Oreochromis niloticus: one gene and its partner. The main gene of each other region encodes a partner of the protein of the gene in region 2 in a complex. Links are inferred from orthologs where the notes say so. Each region holds a gene or a part of one and is shown on either strand. Other genes may lie near its edges. The genes, in order: limk1a and pak4.

What was found.
Region 1: the proteins of pak4 (region 2) and limk1a are in contact, whole or in part, in a crystal structure (PDB 6WLY), measured with the Homo sapiens proteins. The link is inferred for Oreochromis niloticus from reciprocal best matches to the Homo sapiens genes PAK4 and LIMK1. Residues at the interface, in NP_001014831.1 of Homo sapiens: Glu329, Gly330, Ser331, Gln358, Arg359, Leu362, Thr404, Asp440, Lys442, Ser443, Asp444, Phe461, Leu475, Val476, Gly477, Thr478, Pro479, Tyr480, Trp481, Met482, Glu507, Phe516, Pro520; in NP_002305.1 of Homo sapiens: Lys505, Arg506, Tyr507, Thr508, Val509, Val510, Gly511.

Annotation. Positions count from the first base shown.
Region 1 is NC_031979.2:19,908,302-19,918,652, reverse strand, and holds the start of limk1a (LIM domain kinase 1a), read left to right. Parts: upstream 1-5,394; 5' UTR 5,395-5,587; coding exon 5,588-5,645; intron 5,646-8,153; coding exon 8,154-8,253; intron 8,254-10,351. Other genes in the region: elna (elastin), read left to right, coding at 1,383-1,451, 1,543-1,589. UniProt on the Homo sapiens protein: Serine/threonine-protein kinase that plays an essential role in the regulation of actin filament dynamics. Acts downstream of several Rho family GTPase signal transduction pathways.
Region 2 is NC_031979.2:34,926,718-34,937,853, reverse strand, and holds the start of pak4 (serine/threonine-protein kinase PAK 4), read right to left. Parts: upstream 4,401-11,136; 5' UTR 3,555-4,400; intron 1-3,554. UniProt on the Homo sapiens protein: Serine/threonine-protein kinase that plays a role in a variety of different signaling pathways including cytoskeleton regulation, cell adhesion turnover, cell migration, growth, proliferation or cell survival.

The DNA of each region.
Region 1 (10,351 bases), about 15 Mb from region 2:
GTCATGAATCACAAGATGATGCCTCAAATGCAGACTCACTGAGAGGCAGACATAAACAAAAAGTGAACCTTAATTCAATCTGATTTCAAAGTCTGATAGATGGTGGAAACAAAAAAGGGACACAAAGAGGACAACAGATGCTGAGACAAAGACTGAAGGGGAGACAAAACTACACAAGAGAGTAACTAGGAGAAGTGGATAACAAGATGCAGGTGAAGATAATCAAAGACAGTTACACAGGAGGAGAAGTAAAACTATACTCAAGAAACAGACGGGTATCTATCAAAATAAAACAAGAAGTAAGAATCATAACTAAACGGGGGAACGCAGACATGTGAATGATCTTAACACAGTAAGAAAAGGATAAGACGGGAAACACCGAGGAAACAACTGAAACTTTAAGACTAAAGACTAACGGTGAGCATGGAGTAGAACAGATTTTCAATATCCCCACTGTAGGCAGACTTATCTGTGATGAGCCCGATTGAGGTGGTGTCATCTGTTAACTTCATAAGGTTGACAGACTGGTAACTGGAGGTGGAGCTGTTGGTAGGCAAGAAGAAAATGAGGGGAGAAAGTACGTAGCCTGTAGGGGAACTGGTGCTGCTGGTCTGAGACATGCATGCATTTTCATGTCATGCCATTCACATGACCAGTGAGGGTTTTCACATCCTTCCTTGGGCCGGTGAATAGTGCAGCAGTCCACAATGATGTGACAAAATGATCTTTACTAAATAAGTGTGCCTTTTGGCAGCCATCCTAAAAAGTACTTCACAGTCACCAGGACTCAAAAACTTCAAATGTAGAAGTTTATTATAAATATTATTCATCTCATCTTGGTGGTGTTGATTAGATTAAGATAAAGTTATTATCCAGTATATCAGCAGCTGTCTATCATATATCACCTACCTTATTGATATAACTTGCTGAGCAGGTCTGCAGTAAAAACTTCACTAGTAAATCCATCTACAGTTTAATTTCCAGCACCCGTGTTTGGAGGCAAGTGCCTCCTGCCTTAAACGGCTTACAGGGCTGCGGCTTGTGTTGCTTACTGGAAACGTGAACTTTTATAAGACATGCTGAGAAAAAGACAAGTTCTTAAACATTTATGCACTAGAAGAACGTTTTGTTTAAAGGAAATTAATCATATTGTGTTCTTTTTTATTTGAAAGTATCAAATTTTACACACAAAGTTTTTCCTTGTATTAATAGAAACAAAAACCACAAAAAGGCCAAGAGAACAGTTGAATATTCAAATACATGCGTGGAAAATAGAGTGACAGATTTGCCCAGTGGCCAGTCAGGTAATCTTCTGGCTAACATTAAGCCCAGTACCATCAGACTGGAAACATAATAACCAATACTGTTTTGTTGTTTTGCAGCCAAAGCAGCAAAGTACGGTCCTCTGCAGGGCTTCCTTGGTGGAGGAGGCGGCGGAGGAATCTATAGAGGTAAAAGATTTGCGCACATTGTTGAAGAAGCATCCTGAAAACAGAAGTTGCTGCTAAGCAAAGACTAAAATGTTGCCGGTGTTTGCTGCAGGTGGTGTTGCAGGATGCCAGGGCAAATACTGTGGGAGGAGGAAGTAGAGGATCTCCCGAGATCCAGTGACCTCAAGAAACCATGGTGCTACTGCATGATCGAGAATGTACATTTTATATGCAAAGCCCCATTAGACAACCTGTAAAGATGTTTGTTCTTACTTACTTGACTTCAGTGTCTGTTTTTACACAAACCCACCGACCCAGAATTTTGTACATGTGCTGATGTGACGTATGTTATTGACAGTGCCTTTAATCATTAACATGTTCAAGTTAACCAGCTTTAATTCTGTACCGCACCGGCCCACCATGTGTCGCTGCGTCCGTGCACGCACGCCTGCACGTGTGTGTATCGTTTGTTTGAAACTGTCTGTACCATCGGCTGTCAATGTGACCCACAAGTGATTTCCCTTTCTGCTTTAATCCTAAACTAAATCAAGGTGATCCGTCTCACTGGGCAGCACAGGGCTCATCTACTCCTCTCCAACCTGTCACAGGGGTGGGGTTGGTCATAGCTAGGCCGAAATCTGATGATATCCAGCCAATGTCAGTGTGGTTCCTGGCTCCCCATTTTCTCTGCTGCCATTTTTAGGCCTGCTGGGTATAAAGCGGTGGTAACTGGGGCTCCGGCCAACCCATCTGCTCTCGGCAACTTTGCTGATTCTTGTTGCTGTGCAGTTCAGTTTTCTCAGCTTTTTTTTTTTTGTTAAATGTTGCCAAACACTTTCTGCTGAAGACAGTCAAAAAGCAGTGTGTTCAAATATCAATCAGACTCTGCTCTGGTATGTACGCGACGTGTATGTGCGTGTGTGTTTCATTATGTGTCGTGTTTAAGTCTGCTTCAAATGTTTAGTCTCATTTACATTTATGTAACTGGTCATTATTCAAGATTTGTTGCACCATGATTTGACTCATAGCTTTTTTGTTATCAGGAATGTGTGAGCATTAAAAAAAACAATCCTTTGCTTTTGCATTTATTCACTGTTATTAACTGTAATACAGATTAATACTTTGTTTTAATGGGAGTGCCGCTGTGTTTATGTGAGGCACAAAATCCCTGTTCTTTATTTACTTGAGCTGCTTTAAAAAAAAACAAAACCAAAGGCTTTACTGACCAAAGGTTCATGAGCGCTGTTGCCAAGTGACCCCCATCTCTTCCCGTAACTGTGTACTGTATTTTGTACTAATTTGATGGCTTCAGTTCCTTCACTCGGTGCTGTGTAAGAACTGTCTTTGAGCCTCGCTGGGTCAGACCTTGTCTTATGTGGCGTGGGATACTCTTCATCTTTATTTAAAACTGTTTTTATAAGGAGGAACAGTGTGGTTTTGCACTTTTTATGTTTCCACGGCACACATGTGACTTGTTCCCGGACATCCGGCATTTTATTTGCTTTAACAAATAACAAAATAAAATGTGTTTAAAGAACACGCGTCTTCTTATTCATTACTTCTTGCTGCCTGTCCTGAGGGCTGATCAAAATCACCTGGTGGGGAGTGTCGAATCAGTCCAACGCTGGAACAATAACCTGGGTTCAAGTCCTGCCTGTTTTAGAGCTTTTTTCATACGAGTTCTGTTATTGTTCCACTAGGAAAAATGAATCACTTATCAGATTTATTGTATGTGAAGGATTTTTTCTCTATAATAAAAACAAACCTCAGGTTAGATGCGAACACTTTGAGCTCTGTTCTTATTGTGCCAGCTGGAAGTAATGAACTCATACTGCTGTTCCCTGAAGATCTCCTGGGAGAGCCACTGACCCGTGATCCACATCCTGTAAAAGTAGCTTACACTGTTGTTCCAGGAGCAGAGGCTTTACTGCAGACATAAAACAATGTCACTGTGAAACTCTAGTCGAATTCTGTTTTTCTACAGCTGACAATTACACATTTCTGTAAATCTGTTTGCTTGATTTTCCTAGTATTAGTTAGCTTACTTAATTTCTAACAGGAAATAATGTGTTTGTGTTACTTTAGCCAACATGTAATAGGTGTAGGCAAACCCTTTGTACATACGTGTACTAAATCAGTTATCTGGCGACCTGCCACTGGGACAAACAGATCAAACCTCTGGCCCTGGCTTAGCTATCTCACTCCCATCTCCCCATACCGACACTCCTGACGCTGAACCAGTGCCACTGATTCTTCAGTTCATCATGTCCAAGCAATGATGATTTTTAGGCAAAAATATTTCAACTTGGTGCCCATTAATGCTATACTCACACATAGGAAAACAGTGTTTGGAGACTGCAGCACAAGCAAAATTATTGTGATTTGTGTGTTTTGAAGACGGAGACCGGGTATGCAACCTCCCGCAGTGAGCTGCCGTCTTCGTTACCATTTTATTGCTGTCTTTAGTGCGATAAGACTGAATCGGTCTGCTATGAATCTGCTGGCAATTACATGTTAATACTACAAACCTGATAATACAAACCTGTTGCCGTCTACATGTACATAAGGCATCCAGTTGAAGTGAGTCCCTTACTGCAAAGAGACGTGTTACAGAGGAGTTAGGTCATCCAGACTCACTCAGAGTTTTAAAAAAAAAATGGAAAAAAATCCATCCTCACCACCGCGTGGAGCAGGTGCAGAGCCGAAAAAATGTAAACATAGAAAAGAATTAACACGCACTGCAGAGCTCCAGCTTCCTTATTTACTGCATCTAGTCGTGTGTGACGTTTCGACTACGTCTGCTCTTCTTCAGATAATGAAACATAGGACGGCACCATCTTAAATCAGCTGTGATAGATCACATGACCATGACCCATGGCAATAATATCTAATCAGAACCATGTTTTATATAGGTCTCACTCAGATTTACTGCAATATGTTGATAGTCTGTCTGCATTTGAATTTGAGTTTGCCATTTTATGTCCACTCTAGTGTTACCTGCACCTCAACTCGCCTCCGTATTTGTTGTGTGAAATTGGCACTAATGTGGGTGTGGCTTTGTGTATGTGTGTTTCAGAATTGCTGTGAGACAGTGGCTGATTGGGTTGTTTTAACTGAAGCTAGTTACATTTGATTGCACTTACACTCTGGTCCTTTGATATTTCACACTGCAAACGCTGCTGTTTCACTTGTGGCTCTCTGTGCAGGTATGTTAAAAATTCCAGATTTAAGAAAGTTTAAATTAAAAATATTTTTTATGTCTGCATTCTGCTGTGGTTCTGTGTTTTGTACAATTAAAATTCAGAGATAATTCGGGTATATAATCACGCTGTACACACAGAATCCGTGTGTTACACTGAACCATAAAGGAAAATGGACGTGGTGACTGTGTTGCATTTAAGCAATGACTAAAAATCAGTAATTACCATTTTGTAATTTCTGAATTGTGCGCTCAGGCTTCCGTTTTGTGTCTGCTTTGCACTTTGCACAGCTAACTGATTTTATGGCTCCTAAATTAAGCCCCAGTTAATCTCATGAACAGCAAATTTCACGATTTAGACTTCTCTTAAACATTAAATAAAACCTCAGTTTTTATGCTGCTGACTACACTGCAGCTGCTTTCAGATTTGCCTTCATGGGTTTCAAACCAGCCAACCACTTCATTTTCTTTCCCTTCGTTCCAGCTTCTTTTTATGTTGCATCCTTTGTTTACTGCGATTGCACTTCGATGAGACACTTAACAGCTACTTCCAGCACCTCCACCCCTTTCGCCACTATCATGCATCAACGCGTTAATAGTTTACCTGCCTTTCTACAAGAGCGCGCTCTGTCTACTTGTAGTTACTATGGTGGCGTTTCTGCGCCGTCTACCCCCCTCCGTCCCTCCTCCACCAGACTTCATTAAGCAGGGCGTGTTTGTGGTTGGCCAGCCCCCTGTTTCCTCCGCACTGCTCGGCAGCTTCATTGGTCAGCGCCTCTCTTGAATGAAGCGCCGCAGAAACGTGCAGGCAGCGGGCAGAAGGAAGCTGTGTGGGCCGCCGCAGGGAGCGACCGACGCGCAGCGACACGACCCCCGGGCGCGTTGCGGTGTGTGTCGGTGAACACCGTTTATCCGTCGAGCAGAGGCAGTTGGCTCTCTCCCGGAGCTCCGCGTGTGAATGAGGTTGATGCTGCTCTGTTGCACCTGGAAGGACGAACGCATGGGAGAGGAGGAAGGTAAGGACCTGCGTGCTGGTTACGCGCTTCGGCTTTTGGGGCGGGCGATGCGGAGACGACGGCGCACTCCCTGCTCCTCGAAACGCAGAAGATGCTCCAACAGAAAAAAAGCTGCACACTGCGCCGTTTCTGTGTTTACTGTACAGAAATAGGTTCGTGTGCAGGGAGCGCCAGGCTGTGCCGCAGATGAAGCCATTCTTCGAGTGGATACGGCCAGCATGTTTGTATGCAACGTTCACCCTCAGGCCACCACCACCACACTCTTCATCTGCCGCCAGCCTTCTCCAATAATCCAGCATGCAGTGCTTATAAACAGGTTGTTACATGAGAAGTAACTGTCCTTTAAGAGCTTCCTTCATGCTGTGTGAAAAACACACAGAGGGCAGAGTTTCCTGTTGTGCCTGCACCAAACTAAGACTCCCACAGACTCCATGATTACCTTAGGTGTGTGACCGGTGTGGATTTAATCATATAAATCAGCCAGATAACCTTCTGATCTCATTATTAATGAAGCTGTTTTAATTGTATGTTTTTTTAATTCATTGTTTTCTGGATAGTGATTCAGGAATCTATGGCTCGAACAGCTGGTAAACCACATTGTTGATATATGTGTGTGTATTTTGGCATGTGGTGTGAGATAACTGTGCACACCGAGCTGTCAGTCAGCTTCACAGAGGTGAACAATGGACGTCCTATGTAAGGTTTCACTTTGCATTGCAGTGTGATTAGCTAATCTGGAAGTGTCTGCTTTAAGTCAGAGCGGGCGGGGGCGTACGCACCTGTACCTGCACAGGTTTTACAGTTTGTGCCAGAATGTAGGTGTGTTTCTGTTTGCTTTGGCTGCCCTTTCTGAAGTCAACAGGAGGAAAGACACCATGCAGAGAAATGCTCCACAATAAAAAATGCTAAAAAAAAGAAAAGATGGTAAAACAAAAGTGTTTAAAGAGAGAAGGCTGGAGGAGTGTAGAAGAAAAGCATTAGCACCAGACATCAGCACCCAAAGCTCTGCCAAAATGGCTTTCAGTTCACAGGATGGATGAATAATTGAAGCTGTTGTGCAGAGTTAAGTTTTATCAAGACTCTTCCACCAGTATCCAGATTTCATGTTGTGGCACTTTTGAATTTAACCTTGGTCAAAATTGGGCCTCTTTATAGCTGCTTTGTATGTGGAGAAGTACTCTTGTTACTTCTTGTTGAAATGCCGCGATGAAGAGGTGCCACGCTCGGCTGTTACTCTGAGGTGACAGTCGTGATGTTACTCTTGGGTGCACCGCAAGTTCAGGAGCTCAGCAGCGAGAGTAATGCGGGGGAACCTGAAGCAGTAGCATCTGTGCAGTCTTATTCTTTACAAATCAAAACAGCATCACCACGGATGAAATGCTTTCAACTGGCTGCCATGTTTGTGTTTGCTGTTACTCACTGAGTCTTGCCGTGTGACTTTTTTTTAGGCAAATTAACTCAGGCAACAAATGCATCTAACACAGCATAACGTCAGCCGCCGCCTCGCCCTTTGCACCAGATGAACTCTTACTGCAGGATAAATCGTCCCAACTCTGCCAAATTGCTTTTTTCCTGAAACTCTAATCATAATGAAGATTTTCCTCAGAGTTGGAATCTTTGATCTGCAGCTAATAAGATTCCTCTCATAGAAACGGCTCTTATCAGGAAAGAAGTAGAAGAAAGCCGATGGCTGGTTTAAATTCTGTTTAATTTACTTTTCTTTTCTGCGTTAGTTTGCATTTTGTAAGGAAAATGTAAAGTGTGCCTGCTAATAACACCATGTTATTTAAATATGCCCCAGTTAATCCCTGCCATCATTTTATGCATCATCTCAGCTTCTCTTTAGTTTCTTTGTGTTGTTTCCTGCTTTTACAACACGCACGGCTTTTGTACAGGTAAATTGTGGGGAAAAAACCCAAAACAACAACAAAAAATGGAAAGGTTGTGACTAGAAAAAAGGGATAAAACATCCAATTAAATGTAGGTTTGGAAAAATAAAATAAAAGCCTTATATTACTTTTCCAAACTGATCATAACTACCTTTGGAAACCTGGATGTTTTATGCCTTTTGGTCATAATATTTCCATTTTTCTCATTGCCAAAGTTTGAATATTATCCTATAATTCTAGGCAAAAAATTGTGTTTCTTTAAATGTTGTGATTTTTTTTAATAAACTAGAGTTTATCTACTAAACAGGGCGATGCAGCAAATTAGTGGTTTCGGGCCTGCTGAGCCGTATGCTCATTAAAAATGCCCCTTCAGATGGTACATCGTTTCTGCTCTGGTGGTAACGATGGAGGAGACGCTGTGTGGTGTGTTTGTTTGAGTTGTGTGTTTTTAGAGCTGGGTTATAAACCAGCAGTGATAATTTGCATAGCCAGATAAGCGACGGAGGTGGCACACAGACTGGCACGCAAACACACATCTCTTTGTAAGAACTGTTTATAACTTTATGTTTAATGAGCTTTAATATGGTGATATCAGCACGTCTGTCTCCTGTCATTACAGCAGGAGGAAGTTTGCCCGTGTGCGCGGGATGCAAACAGAGGATCTACGATGAGCAGTACCTCCAGGCCCTTAACAATGACTGGCATACCGTCTGCTTCAGGTACTTTCAGCACAAACAGCAAACCAGACTCGACATATAAACCCAGACTTTAAGAGCACACACGTCTTTAAGTCTCACTGAGTTTTTGGCCACTTGGGAACAACACTGAAATATCACAGTGCATCTTGCTTATTTATCCATCCTACAAGTCCGTCCAGGTAGAGCAAATACAGGTCAAAAGTTCACTGGCATTTACCGCTGTTCATGGAGTCGACCAATTTCCGAGGGGGAATTCTGCCTATCATTTAGCTGCTAAATGTTCCACTGTGTTCAACAGCCGGTTAGTAAGTGTCTGCTGAATGGTATATTACTGTGATTAATATATCGCTCATTATTACTGCTTTAAAGGACAGTGAAGGAGTGAGTGAGGTGAGTTAATGATTGCACATATAAGGCATAAAAGTACCCTAGAAAATAAAATAAAAATACCAAATATTTGCTGTTTTCAGTGTTTAAAGGTCCTGTGAGTCCACAGTCCAGCGAAAACCCTTTTTTTCTTAAAATACTGGCTCCACAGGAAAATAAAGGCTAAGTAGCAGCCGGATGTTGCTAATCACATCCACTGACTGTCTGATCAGTTTACAGGTCTGAAGCATTCAGTGCGTGTTAAAGAGCCCGACAGCATGGCTTAGGTTTGAAAAGTTTCATCTGAACAAACCACAAGGCTTCTGGAACAATGTCCTTTGGGCATGTTTGGCTGTAATGTACAAACACCTCATAGCAACAAACAGGCACGGTGGTGGAGGGTGATTATTTAGGCTTGTTTTCCAAGCATAGAACGTGGGCACCTATTAGTTATTAAGCTGATGATTAACTCCTCTGTTCACCAAAGTATTCTAGAGTCAAATATGAGGCCATCCATCCGACGGCTAAATACTGACGCAAACTGGGTCGTGCAACTGGTCAGTGATTCCAAACACAGCAGCAAAGTCCAGACCTAACTGAAATGTTGTGGCGGGACCTTAAGAGAGCTGTGCAAAAAAAATGCTTGCAAACTTCAATGAACGGATGTAATGTTGTAAAGAAGTGTGGGTCAAAATTCCTCCACAGAGATGTGAGAGACTGATAAAGTTATTGCTACTAAATGTAGTTTAATGAGCTAGTGAATCGTGGGGCATACTTATTTCTCACAGGACTGCAGAGAGTCTCGTGAGAAACTTTATTTTTCACATGACTGTGTGATTAAAAAAATGATCAGGTTGTTAGATAAAACAGTTTATTCATTTCACCTTGGGAAACTGTAAAAGAGATATTAAACAGGAGAAATAGCTGGGAGGTTATGTAACAAGTTTTAGCTGTAGTTTTTTGTGGTTTCAATGTAGGCTTTGTGCTGCAGTATTTCCTGGAAATAGCTGACATGACAGTGAAGCGCTACTGTTACAAACTCGTTCCCAGGCATGTCTGTGCCTGCTTGTGTGGGTTTTTTTTTTGAGGAGCCAAAATTCCCTGAAAACATTAAGTTTGCATGTTATTGCCCATAATCACATCTTGTTCCTTGTTTAATCTTTTCTTCACTGTAGTGCTAACACAAGTATCCTCCCCCCACCAGCTTTTCTAAGTAAATCTCCTTAAATCTGATCTGTCTTTTTCTCACAAGTGTTTCCTTTTTGTGGCTGAAGGTAAAGGTAAAGTTTCCGATTTTGCTGTGTTTTCTGGTACTTTTAGTTTTTGATGAATTCTGTAACAGACATAACCTAAAGTAGTCCTGGCTGCAGACCTGCGTCAGACAAGTGATAATGTTGAAACCTTCACATGATGCAGTAATGAAACTTTACAGGTGTGTAGCTGAGATCAAAATTAAAATTTGGAGTTTAAAGATGGGTGTGATCTAATTCACAAACACTGAGTAAAGGGCACCAGAATAATATTTCTAAAGACAGACATTAGCATTGAGGCTGTTGGGATACCTTCTCTAGTTTTGACCTGTAAAATTACAACATCATGACACCTTCACAGTAAAGAAATTGCGAAAGATGCAGATACACATAGACACATAGTCACCAGCGGTTTAAACAAGTCCTGGCTGGCTCACAGTCAAATGTCTGCTTCTGAAAAATGAGATTTAACCCTCTGAGAGCTGAGTCAACTCTAATCCTAA
Region 2 (11,136 bases):
CTGGACACATCTGTCAACAGTCATCTGTGATTTCTGATCATTTCCACCTTCATGGCTCGCCTCCTCTGCTGTGATTCACCTAAAAACTGGCCGAAAATCAAGAAAAACTCTTAAATCTGCTTGGAGTGAATCCTTCAAACTCAGTAGATTTTAGGTACTGCAGCTTTATAAATATGATCAAAGAAAATACAGAAACTGCAGAGGAATTTGAAAAAAGTAGCATATAGCAAGTGATCAGATATATTTTTGAATGCCTCTTCTTTACTGCTAAATACAGTTAGAAGCAAAAAATCTTTAGCCCCATTGTGTATTAGGTTTATTGGCATAAATTCAGTGTCCAGCAGGCTTATCACCAAAGCCCACACTGCACACTGAAATAGCTGCCAAATGGGCCTTTATTATGGAAGAAGTTTGTCTAGCTTTGTCTAGTAAATTCTGCATAAAACAGCACCTCAAAGTTCGTAACTATAAGTACACTTCTTTCTAACTGCCTTAGTCAAGTCCCGCCACAGCTTTTCCATATTAATGGTTCAGACAGCCACTATCTAGGACTTCCTCTGAAACCTAAAGCCAATATTCTGAGGTATGCTTGGGTCACTGTACTACTACTGAAAGGTCCATCAATGCTTGCGCATCAGCGTCCTCACTGACAGCAATACATTTTGGCGACCGTGGCTCAGGAGATTGGGAAGCTCATCTGTAACCGGAAGGTTGCCAGTTCGATCCCCCTGCTCTCTCTGTCCTGGTCGTTGTGTCCTTGGGCAAGACACTTTACCCTACCGCCTACTGGTGTTGGCCAGAGGGGCCGATGGCGCGATATGGCAGCCTCGCTTCTGTCAGTCTACCCCAGGGCAGCTGTGGCTACAACTGTAGCTTGCCTCCACCAGTGTGTGAATGTGAGAGTGAATGAATAGTGGAACTGTAAAGCGTTTTGGGTGCTTAGAAAAGCGCTATATAAATGCAATCCATTATCATTATTATTATTTTCTTCCAGGATTTCTGATACTTTATTTACTACATGTTGCCAGTTGTACTTTGTAGACTTTTGCATTACATGAGGAATCAAAGAAGTCTCTGACATCACTGAGCCACCATCATGCATTACTATAGGTCAGTTCATTCTTCCTTCTCCAGACACATTTCTGACCCATAGGCCAAAAGTTCTAGTTTTGTTTTGTCCCCCCCCCCCCCCCCAAAAGATCTGTGCCATCATTTCAATCATCATCAGTAATGAGTCACAGCACTTCGATAAATCATATGACCTTGGGAATAAATTCAGGAACAGGTTTCATTTCAGCCAGTGAAACTGCTAGTCAGTGACTGAAACTGGCAGGGCTCTCTTAGGTTTGGCCCTGTTACATAGTGCCAGCAGGCAAATGACAGGAAATGAAGGAAAGATGGATGCAGCAAAGGTTCCCAACAGACTTCTACCCGCAGACATTGTGGTTTATTGTTGTCTGAGCCAAAGGAAATTATTATGAAGTAGTAAAATTAAAGTTAAAAAGTGTTGTTAAATGTCTTTATCCTGCCAGGTAGCATAATAAGTTTCCTGCCAGCAAGCAGAATAAACACCAAGCAGCATCTTTTGGGACCAGTTTTGATTATTTATACTGGGATGAGGGCTTTTTGAGCAACCTCCAGGGTACCACAAAACCCCCTCTTTTACCCTACAGGGAGAGCCAACTGGAGCCTCCTTTCAGGAGGAGAATAAAGTATAATACTGATATCCTACTTTAAGGAAAAACAAACAAAAACCAAACAGCAGCATACACTTAATGCTCCTTTCCCAACAGACTCTCTATATGCCCCTTGTCTGCCACACAAAGTCGTTTATTTTTCCACTTGTTGATTGTCTGCTGCTTCTATGACCTGCGTGGATTTGGTTTATCTGGTCCAAATATGTCAGTGAGGATGACTGTTTAACCTGCCAGCCTGTTTTTCCTGTTTGATTACCTTGGTTGGCTCCTCGTTTTTCCACCACAGAGCAGACAATTCCAATGTTTCTACAACTACCAGCAGACAGAAGAAGATGCTTTTTATTAAAGCTGTTCTGGAAACCCGAAAAAGTAAACAGAACTTAAACATTTTCTGCTAGAAAAGCTAATTACTTTCTTTCACCTGTCCTTTTGGCTTAGGTTTGTATAATTTTAAATTATCAGGTACCTAACAAGGTATTTTAAAACCATGTTATCTTAACACTGTTAGATTCATATTCAGCACATATGCTGTGTTTTTTGTTCACAATGAACAATCACTCAAAGAAAACACACACATTTCCAATTTTTTTCCAGTAAACTTGCCATTTGTTTCTTTCAGATTCAGTTGAGGTTGTTGTAATTTAGCAGAACAAATGCCATCCATAAGTTGCATTTTCCCAAAGAGATATTAGTCAGTTAGCTACTATCTAACAAAAATATAACTTTTCAATATGGCTGTACTGATTGTGAAATTCTGAGCTGATACTGTCAAAAGAATTTGGCCTAAATCCTATCCTCATGTATCCATAGTTTATTTAAATGTACTTTTCTTGTTATCTGTTCCCACTTCTGTGCTATAAACACTAACATCTTTTTAAAAGACTTTCACCTTTTCATCACACTGCCTTTGAACTCTCCAGCAGATAAACTTAACTGTTTATCTTACTTACTAGTAGATGGATATCAGCTGTCTTGCAGCTGCATCCCATCTCGCAACTTAACACGTGAATATTGCTGATGAATATTTTGCCATACATGATGTAGATGTTCCCGCTGCTGTTTGGGAATGGTGCATATGTGAGAGAGACGAGTGACCCCTTCATACAGCTTCTCTGGAATCCCAGGAATGTATGGTGTGCCCAGCACCAACCGCACGACCTTACAAACACAAACCCCCCCCCCCTTCCTCTCACTGCACACTCACGAAGCACAACACAAATGCAATCCATAACATGACATCCGCCAGCCAAGAGGAAAAGAAGTGGGAGGGGAAAAAAGAAACTAAAAAGGAGAATTCATTCATGCACGAGAGAGAGAGGGAGCAGCTTAATATCCTCTTTTCCTGCTTTAGCCTGCCCACACAAACAATTCAGTCCTCCTTCACAGGTGAAAACGGAAGTTCACCGTGATCGTGATTATCAGGAACCAGCTGAACTTATCAGAAAGCAGACTGGCAGACTCAGCGTTACCAGAACTCGTTTGTCTCCTGGGTGTGCAAATGAGCCATCCTGTGAGCGTATGAGATCTTAGCAAAGGAAGACAGTCTGAACCTAAAGTTAGCTTCACATTTTTATTGTTTAACAACTTTCACAAGTGGCCCTCAGATTTTTGATTTCACAGTTCAGACACGATTCACTCTAGTCTACGCTTTGAGTGATTCATGAGCTAACACACAAACACAAGGAGAGCAGACTGAAGGAGGCTGCTCCGGTATCCTCACACCCGGACTGGCCGGACCGACCGGAGCGCAGCTAACGCTAGCCTCCGTTAGCGGCTCAGCGGGGAGCGGAGACGCGCCACAAGCTAACCCACAGCACGGTCCGGTAACCGAAGTCAGAGCCACGCGGGGATACTCACCAGGGATGTCCCAGGAAAACTTTTTCTGCCGACCCCGCGACGTACTTGGAAACTTTCCAAAAATCAGAAGGGCGGGAGCGGACTAACTTCAGGGCAAACTGTGTGATATTAGCCGAAGTCTTACTTTCCCGACGCCATGTTGAACAGAGGAAACTGGAACATCCGGGAAACTGAAACCAATCTCCATGGAAACCGAGTTAGCAACGGGCTACCGGGAGACGACTCTTCTTCGGCTTTTTTTTCTTCTTCTTTGTGGTTGGTAAACATTACCGCCCACCGGTAGACTAATACTGTACCTTCCTCCCAGCTGTTTCTTACATTTGTAGTGCACGTATTATTTATTAATGCAATTCACACTACTCTCTTTTACCATCTCAGTCTCACTTTTTACTTTACTTTAACTTAACCTAATTTTTTTATTCTTTCTTTTCTTTGTTTTTTAATCACAGTGGAAAATGTTTACATATAACAATCTCACAGGCCGTCACTATGCGCCTGTGGCACTTTAACTTTGTTCTTTATTTATTGTAGACTGCACTATTTTTATTCTTTATCCCGCTGTTGTAACACAATAAATTTCCCTTGTGGGATTATTATGTTCACATATGGCTTCTTCTTTGCATGACAAAGATTTGTCTGCACTCTCCATATAATCTTACATCCAGCTGCTTTAAAATCACCAGCTAACCTAACATGCATGTCTTTGGACTGTTTGAGGAAGCTGGAGTAACTGAAGAGATCCCACAAGGGCACAGGGAGAACATCTAAACTCCACACAGAAAGGTCTCAGCCAACCCGGGAATTTGAACCTTTCAATAAACCCCATTGCTAACTACTTCAGAATGCTTTCCATAACAGAACTATTTAGGTTTATATCTTGAGAGTTAATGTAAGTTTAAAACAAGAGAAACAAACCAAAAAATAAATTTTTTAGAAGAAATGTATTGATCTCATGGCAGTAGAGTGTTTTTTAATGTTACAGTGACTAAACACAGTGGTACAAAAAAGTCTGTTTTACAAATGTAGCCAATCGTCATATTTGCGGGACTGATGGATTCTCATACAGGGGCACCTCCAGAATTTTTTCATAGGGGGCCACTAAAAATACTGGGATGCCACACCAAAAACAGAATTTCCAGTTTTACCATGCTGTCATCAAATATATTTTTTTGGGGGGGGGGGGCTAGTTTTGTTTTGTTTTTTTAATCTACCATGTCGAAGCAATGCAGGCACACATACGTACATGCATTAATATGTAGAATATGCAGTAAATTCCTATAAAACAGAGACATTTCAATCAATAAGAGGGACAAACAACTTCACTATGAGCTCATATGGTAGGTTTTATCTTAACTTTAGTAAATAAAACTGCGGCAAGTAGGGTTGGTTAATGATTCACCAGGAGAGATGGGAACAGAAGTTGCTGATACAGGGCCAGGCTCCTATTGTGTGATGCAGAGGTGGTGATGGATAGGTGGGACTACAGCCTTGAGAACAGCTATTTGGATGCAATTCGACTTTCTGTGCCAGATAAAGTTGGAGCTCATGGATCATAGCGACGTCACTCCTCGGTATAAGTTCAGGGACAAGTCATCGCCTTGCTGCTGTTGCTCCTGTAGGAGATGAGGAAAGCAAGGAAGGTGGGCGAAGAGATAGGAATGAGGTAGCTGCACAGTGAGGAGTGCAGATATCTGACAGTCCGCAGGTGGTGGTGATCATCCAGAAGAAGCTCGGGGCAACAGAGGGAAAGTTCAGGGTTAGTTCGGAGGAGCTAAAGTAAATGCTAAACTTTCACAAAGAAAAACTGTTTTTCTCTGTGGAGGTTTAGCACCGCACTGCAGTGAGAACAGCCCAGACAAGCTTTGTCTGAACCAGAATATCCTCACCTTATCCCAGAATAACACATCTGCATACTCTGGGGATCTGTGAATTCACCATTTTCATCACAGCTGGTTCAGAGCTGCTCACGAGTTTGTTAAAGGGGACTGCAACAGTATGCTTACCATCCAGAAAAAAACACCCCAGTGATGCCAAGCAGCACCGCAGTGCAGTGAGAACGACCCAGAGAAGGTGTCTCTGTTTGGATGAAGAGGAATTAAAACTGTATAAACAACCATATTCATTAATCTGCCACTGAAAGCCCTGATTTTGCTATGTTGCCATCTGAAGACAGAGACTTTTAAAAAACAAATTAAGCTTTGGTTATCCTCGCATCTGTGATACAAAAAAAAGCTCTTTGTATTAATCAGTGTTTGGCAACAACAGGGGAGGAGATACTGAGGACAAATCTCATGTCTGGTAATGTGCAGTACAACACACTGACAAACATGTAAAATATATTTAATTTTGGTCAACATACACTCATCATAATATGTTCTGTGAAAAAAGTAACATTAAAGTTCCCATTGCTTGTATTTTTAGTCTTTGTGGGTCAGCAGCTCTGTGTTCATTGTTTCCTGGCTAATGAATCAATACACTGCACTGTAATTATTATTAATATTATTTTTCCCACAAAAATACTGTAAAAAATATCAGAAATGTACAATAATAATCAATTTTTTGTGGTATTTAAAAAAATAAAATCATCTTAATTAAAATACAGATGTTTTAAAGTTACATGAAAAAAATGTCTGTTTTTACAGATTTCTTTTTTCGAATAAAGATGTTTAAATCTGTATAAACAACAATATTACCTAATAATAAGTTCAAATACTCACCAAGTAATTAATCCAATTAGAACAGGAGAAAAGTACTGTTGAATTTTACTTCGTACGTTCTGCAATTTTGTATTTTTAGTCCATTCATAATGTGAAAAAATGATTTACTACACAAATAAACCAGTTTGTTAAACTAGTAACTGGGTTTACATTTTTTTTTTTAAATAATTAAAAAATTACAGATCTTTTCTAGCACATACTGACTGATCATATTTGATTCCACATAAAATCTTAAGTCTATTTAGTTGATATGATAAGAGTGAAATATTCCATGAACCATGTAAACTCCTGTTTACTGTGCTTTCAGCCTGAGCAACTGTTTTATTTTGTAAATCTAGATACTGCTCCATATTTGTGGGACAGCAGCAAGTTATTAGTTTCCTTGTATGTGATGATCTCATCAGTATTTCCTGTGCTGCTACAGATGAAACTACACAACAGGGTAAATTACATTATGATAGCTTGACCTCAACCAGCAACATCAGTGAAGCAGAACTCAATAAAAATGATTAAATAATGTATAATAATCCTGTGATAGACTGGCCAGCTGTCCAGAGTGTACTCCGCCTCTCACCCTGTGACAGGCTCCACCGTCACTCTGATCTGGATGAGAATTAATGAATGAATGAATGAATGGATGGATGGATGGAAGAACATATTTTTCTGCAGTATCACTTTCAACTTTAGCTATTTCTTTCAACTAAAGAAAAATGTAAATCCATAATGTAAGTAAATTTTTACTTAACATTGAGAATTAATTGCAACTTTTAAAAACATTTGTAATCTTGTTTAAAAACAAGCAAACGGCTCCATTACGTCATTAACCACATTTCCCTCATCACTGTAAAAGCCAGGATATTACCTCAGTGTCTTTGCAGTTTGATCTGCACAACACTGACCTCTAGTGATCAAATGCACACACTGCTCTGTCAAGCTTTGCTCTGTGGCGTCCTCGTCACGGTGAGAGGTTTTCAAAAAGGCCTGATGAGTGAGGAGACAGTTTTCTTTTTGTTCCTCACACACTGATGGAGTAATGTCATTGTTAGTTTCAGAAATGATAAAAATAATAATGAAATTTGTGAACTAAACTGTGAAGTTTTATTTTATTCTCAAAGATGTACGTTTCTGTGTATGTTTTATTATTGAACAGCAAATTTTCATATGACGCATTTACCAGATTTCTTCTGCCAATACTAAGTGCATACACCTCTTCTGTTCCAGGTTTCATTGTCTGGAGATGAAGCTATCACGTCCCCCCTTATTTTCTGTCATATATTTACTGTTACAGTAGTTGGTGCTCATATTAAATGTCCCTGAAACCTAAACACACGGAGCTGGAAATGAGCAGGAAAGGTCACCTTTGAGAGTTTCTCTCGGTGGAAACATCTTCCCATTTAGATAGTCTTGCTTACTGTATTAATATGTTGAGAAAAACCTACATTAATCTCTTAACCTGCTAACCTCTAATGACAATCAGCTGATTATAACTTTACTTGCAGCTTTAGGAGAAAGTTATATAACTAGAGGTTTCATTGAGCGAGAGTTTGATCATTTATTTCTGCAGTGGAAGCAAATTTGTTACATTTCAAATAGCAGCTTTTTTGTCCCATTGCAAATTTGGATCAATACTTTGCTTCTTTTCTGGTGGTTCTCCAGCTTATTTACAGGCTTTGTTTGTCCTGGGAGACGTGTGTGTTTGCTGAGCATGCTCCTCTTTTCCAGCTTTGCTTCTGCATGTATAGATAAATCTATATTTACTATTTTTTTATACAGAGAAATCACATTTGTCCTTTAAAATTCCTGCTTTTCCTCTCATTGTGGTTTCTGACTCTTAGGGAAAACATATAGTTAATCAGATCTCGGCTGTAAGTGTTTTATAAACTGAGAACAGATGGTTTTCTCATGTTTCACTGCATTAAAGAAGTGTGGAGTAAAGGCACCAACATCTGAGGGACTACAGGTTGGACTCTGTGACTAAAATGTGAAGCTGCTCAAACAGCTTTCCTAAATGAATCCACAGCTCAGCAGTTTGTCGAGCCGCCTCGCTGGTTTACATCCTCTTATGAGGTAATGAAAGCCCTGAATGGATGGTACAAAGCAGGACTTCATCATCCTTCCAGTGTTCACTGGGCATCTAATTACTTTAACAGGGGGTCAAACGTATTGGACAAAAATGAAATGTAAAACGTAGTCTGGCCTGCTTCATAGCACGTCACAAATTTCAGGTTTGGCTGCCTGTAGACTGTAATTGAAAAACCAAAAAATCAGACATTTATTGTTGTCATTTGTACTCTGAAAAATGCCTGTGAGCTAAAACAGAAATAAAGGCGGTATTCTGGTGGTTTGGGCACTATTGTCATGGTGTAAAAGTTCAAAAGATTTTTAAAGATAAGAAAAGTAACAATCAAAAGTAAAAATACAGCATGAAACAAACACTGAAAGCAAACAAGGAACAAAAAATGCAAATCCACATACATCCAAAGTAAATACTGCAAAAGATAAAACATTCAGAATGCTCCTGAAATATTTCTTTAAACTCCAAACCTTTTATTGAGTTCAAAAAGCATCTTGGGACCTTTTCAAATGTTTTTTGTTGTTGTTGCATCTCAGAAAGCCTGGAGATCTGTTCCTCAACAAAGTCTGGCTACTTGGAGGCAAAATATAAAGAAATGATGAATGAGCATAATACTGTACCTACAGCATATATATCAAAACAAAGAGCAGAAAAATTGATTTCTGACACTAATGGAATATTTTGAGGTGATATTTTTAAATATTTAAATAAATAGAAAATATGCCCCAATGAAGCACAATTAAAAAACACAACTGGAACTGAGAATTATGTATTTGTTAAATGTTTTATCTGCCTACACACACGTATGAGCTTCAGTGACATCCCATTATTAATCCATAGGGTTTCATATGATATCAGCAGACCCTTTACAGCTATAACAACTTTAACTCTTCTGTGAAGTCTTTCCACAAGGTTAAGAAGTGTTTATGGGAATTCTGACCATTCTTCCAGAAGTGTATTTGTGACACTGATGCTGGACGAGAAGGCCTGGCTGTCAGTATTCACCCTAATTCATCCAAAAGCCGTTCAGGTTGAGATCAGGACTCTGTGCAGGCCAGTCAAGTTCTTCCACACCAAACTCGCTCATCCATGTCTTTATGGACCTTGCTTTGTGCACTGGTGCACAGTCATGTTGGAACAGGGTCCATCCCCAAACTGTTCCCACAAAGCTGGGAGCATGAAGTTGTCCAAATGTCTCAACAAACAAACAACTCCAAACAACTCCACACCATAATCCGTCTCTACTGCTCAGCCACTGAAACCCATCACATTACTATGCACTGTTCTTGAGCTGATCTGAAGCCACATGAAGTTTGGAGTTCTGTAACGATTGACTCTGTAGAAAGTTGGCGACCTCTCCGGACCATGCGCTCCCAGCATCCACTGACCCGACTCTGTAATTTTCTGTGGCCTCCCACTTCATGGCTGAGCTGCTGTCATTCCCAGTTGCTTCTACTTTGTTATAATACCACTAACAGCTGATGGTGGAATATTTAGTAGCAAGGAAAGTTCAGGACTGAACTTGCTCCACAAATGGCATCCTCTCACAGTAACATGCTGGAATTCACTGAGCTCCTGAGAGCAACTCATTCAAATGTTTGTAGAAACAGTCTGCATGCCTCGGTGCTTGATTTTATACACTTGTGGCCCTGGAAGTGGTTTTCAACACCTGAAGTCAATGGTTTGGATTAATGAGTGAATACTTTTGATAATAAAGTGTTGTTAGAAGCTCCAGATTTAGAAATAACACGAGAAGAGTGTGATGTTTGCTGTATCCTGTGAAATACTCTTGTAGTGAAATAGCTGACCTGTGTGTTTATCAGTGTAATTCTGTTATCTCATGTTTCACTTCCTAAAACACGGCCTCTCCTGCACTTAGAAAGTTTAAGAACGATGACAGACACCAATCAGCCAATTGCTTTTAGTCTATTTTGGAGAATATTATGAAGTGCACAGTTCCTGTGGATTAAAACTGCCATAAATGAATGATGAATGTCTACTCTTACATTTTTTTTTCCCATGTGGCCTGCTGTTTCAGGAGCACGGAGAGGAAAGATGACAGGAGAAAGGGAGGAATCACTGAACCCAGAGGCTGATGCAGATGTGTGAACAGCTGGCTCAGGCTGCATGCAGCACGGCCTTTGCTGTTTGTTGCTGCTGCAGTTCGGACAGGACGGCGAGCTCTGCTGAGTCACGCGAGGCTCGTCTGCAGCTTGTGAGGAAGAACAAGCGCTGACAACCTCAGCTGTTAATTTAATTATTGATCGAGGGAGGCACGGCGACCCGCACACTGTCACACGCTCTGCGCTGAGCCGCTACAAATAATAGATAGAGGAAACTCCCTGGAGCCCACTCTGATGAGATTTTGTGTGTGCGTAAAAGGTGATGAGAGCAAGCTGGCTCAAGCACAGCTGCTTATTGGCCTCATGTGTTTCTCTTCTATTCTTAATCCAGGGGAAAACGCGGGTTAACAAGGGCTGTATAGATTTGGTATTGGTATTGTCACAGTATGAGCGTGATATGGTGGTATGAAGCACACGCTGACATCTTTTAGTTTTGAGAGCCCATCCTGTGTTTCAGCTGATTATAATTCAGTGTGAGGTCGTAAATATAAAAGGATGCTTTGCAGCATCAGAAAAATGTCAGACTTTAGCTTTTATTGACACACAGTTGCAGGAAAAAAGGAAAAAATATCCTCTGAATGTGTTCACCATGACAGCTGTGCAGGTTTCACGTTTAATTGATTTTTATTTCCTGCCTTGACTTTGTTGATATTTTTCGGTTTGTCCTG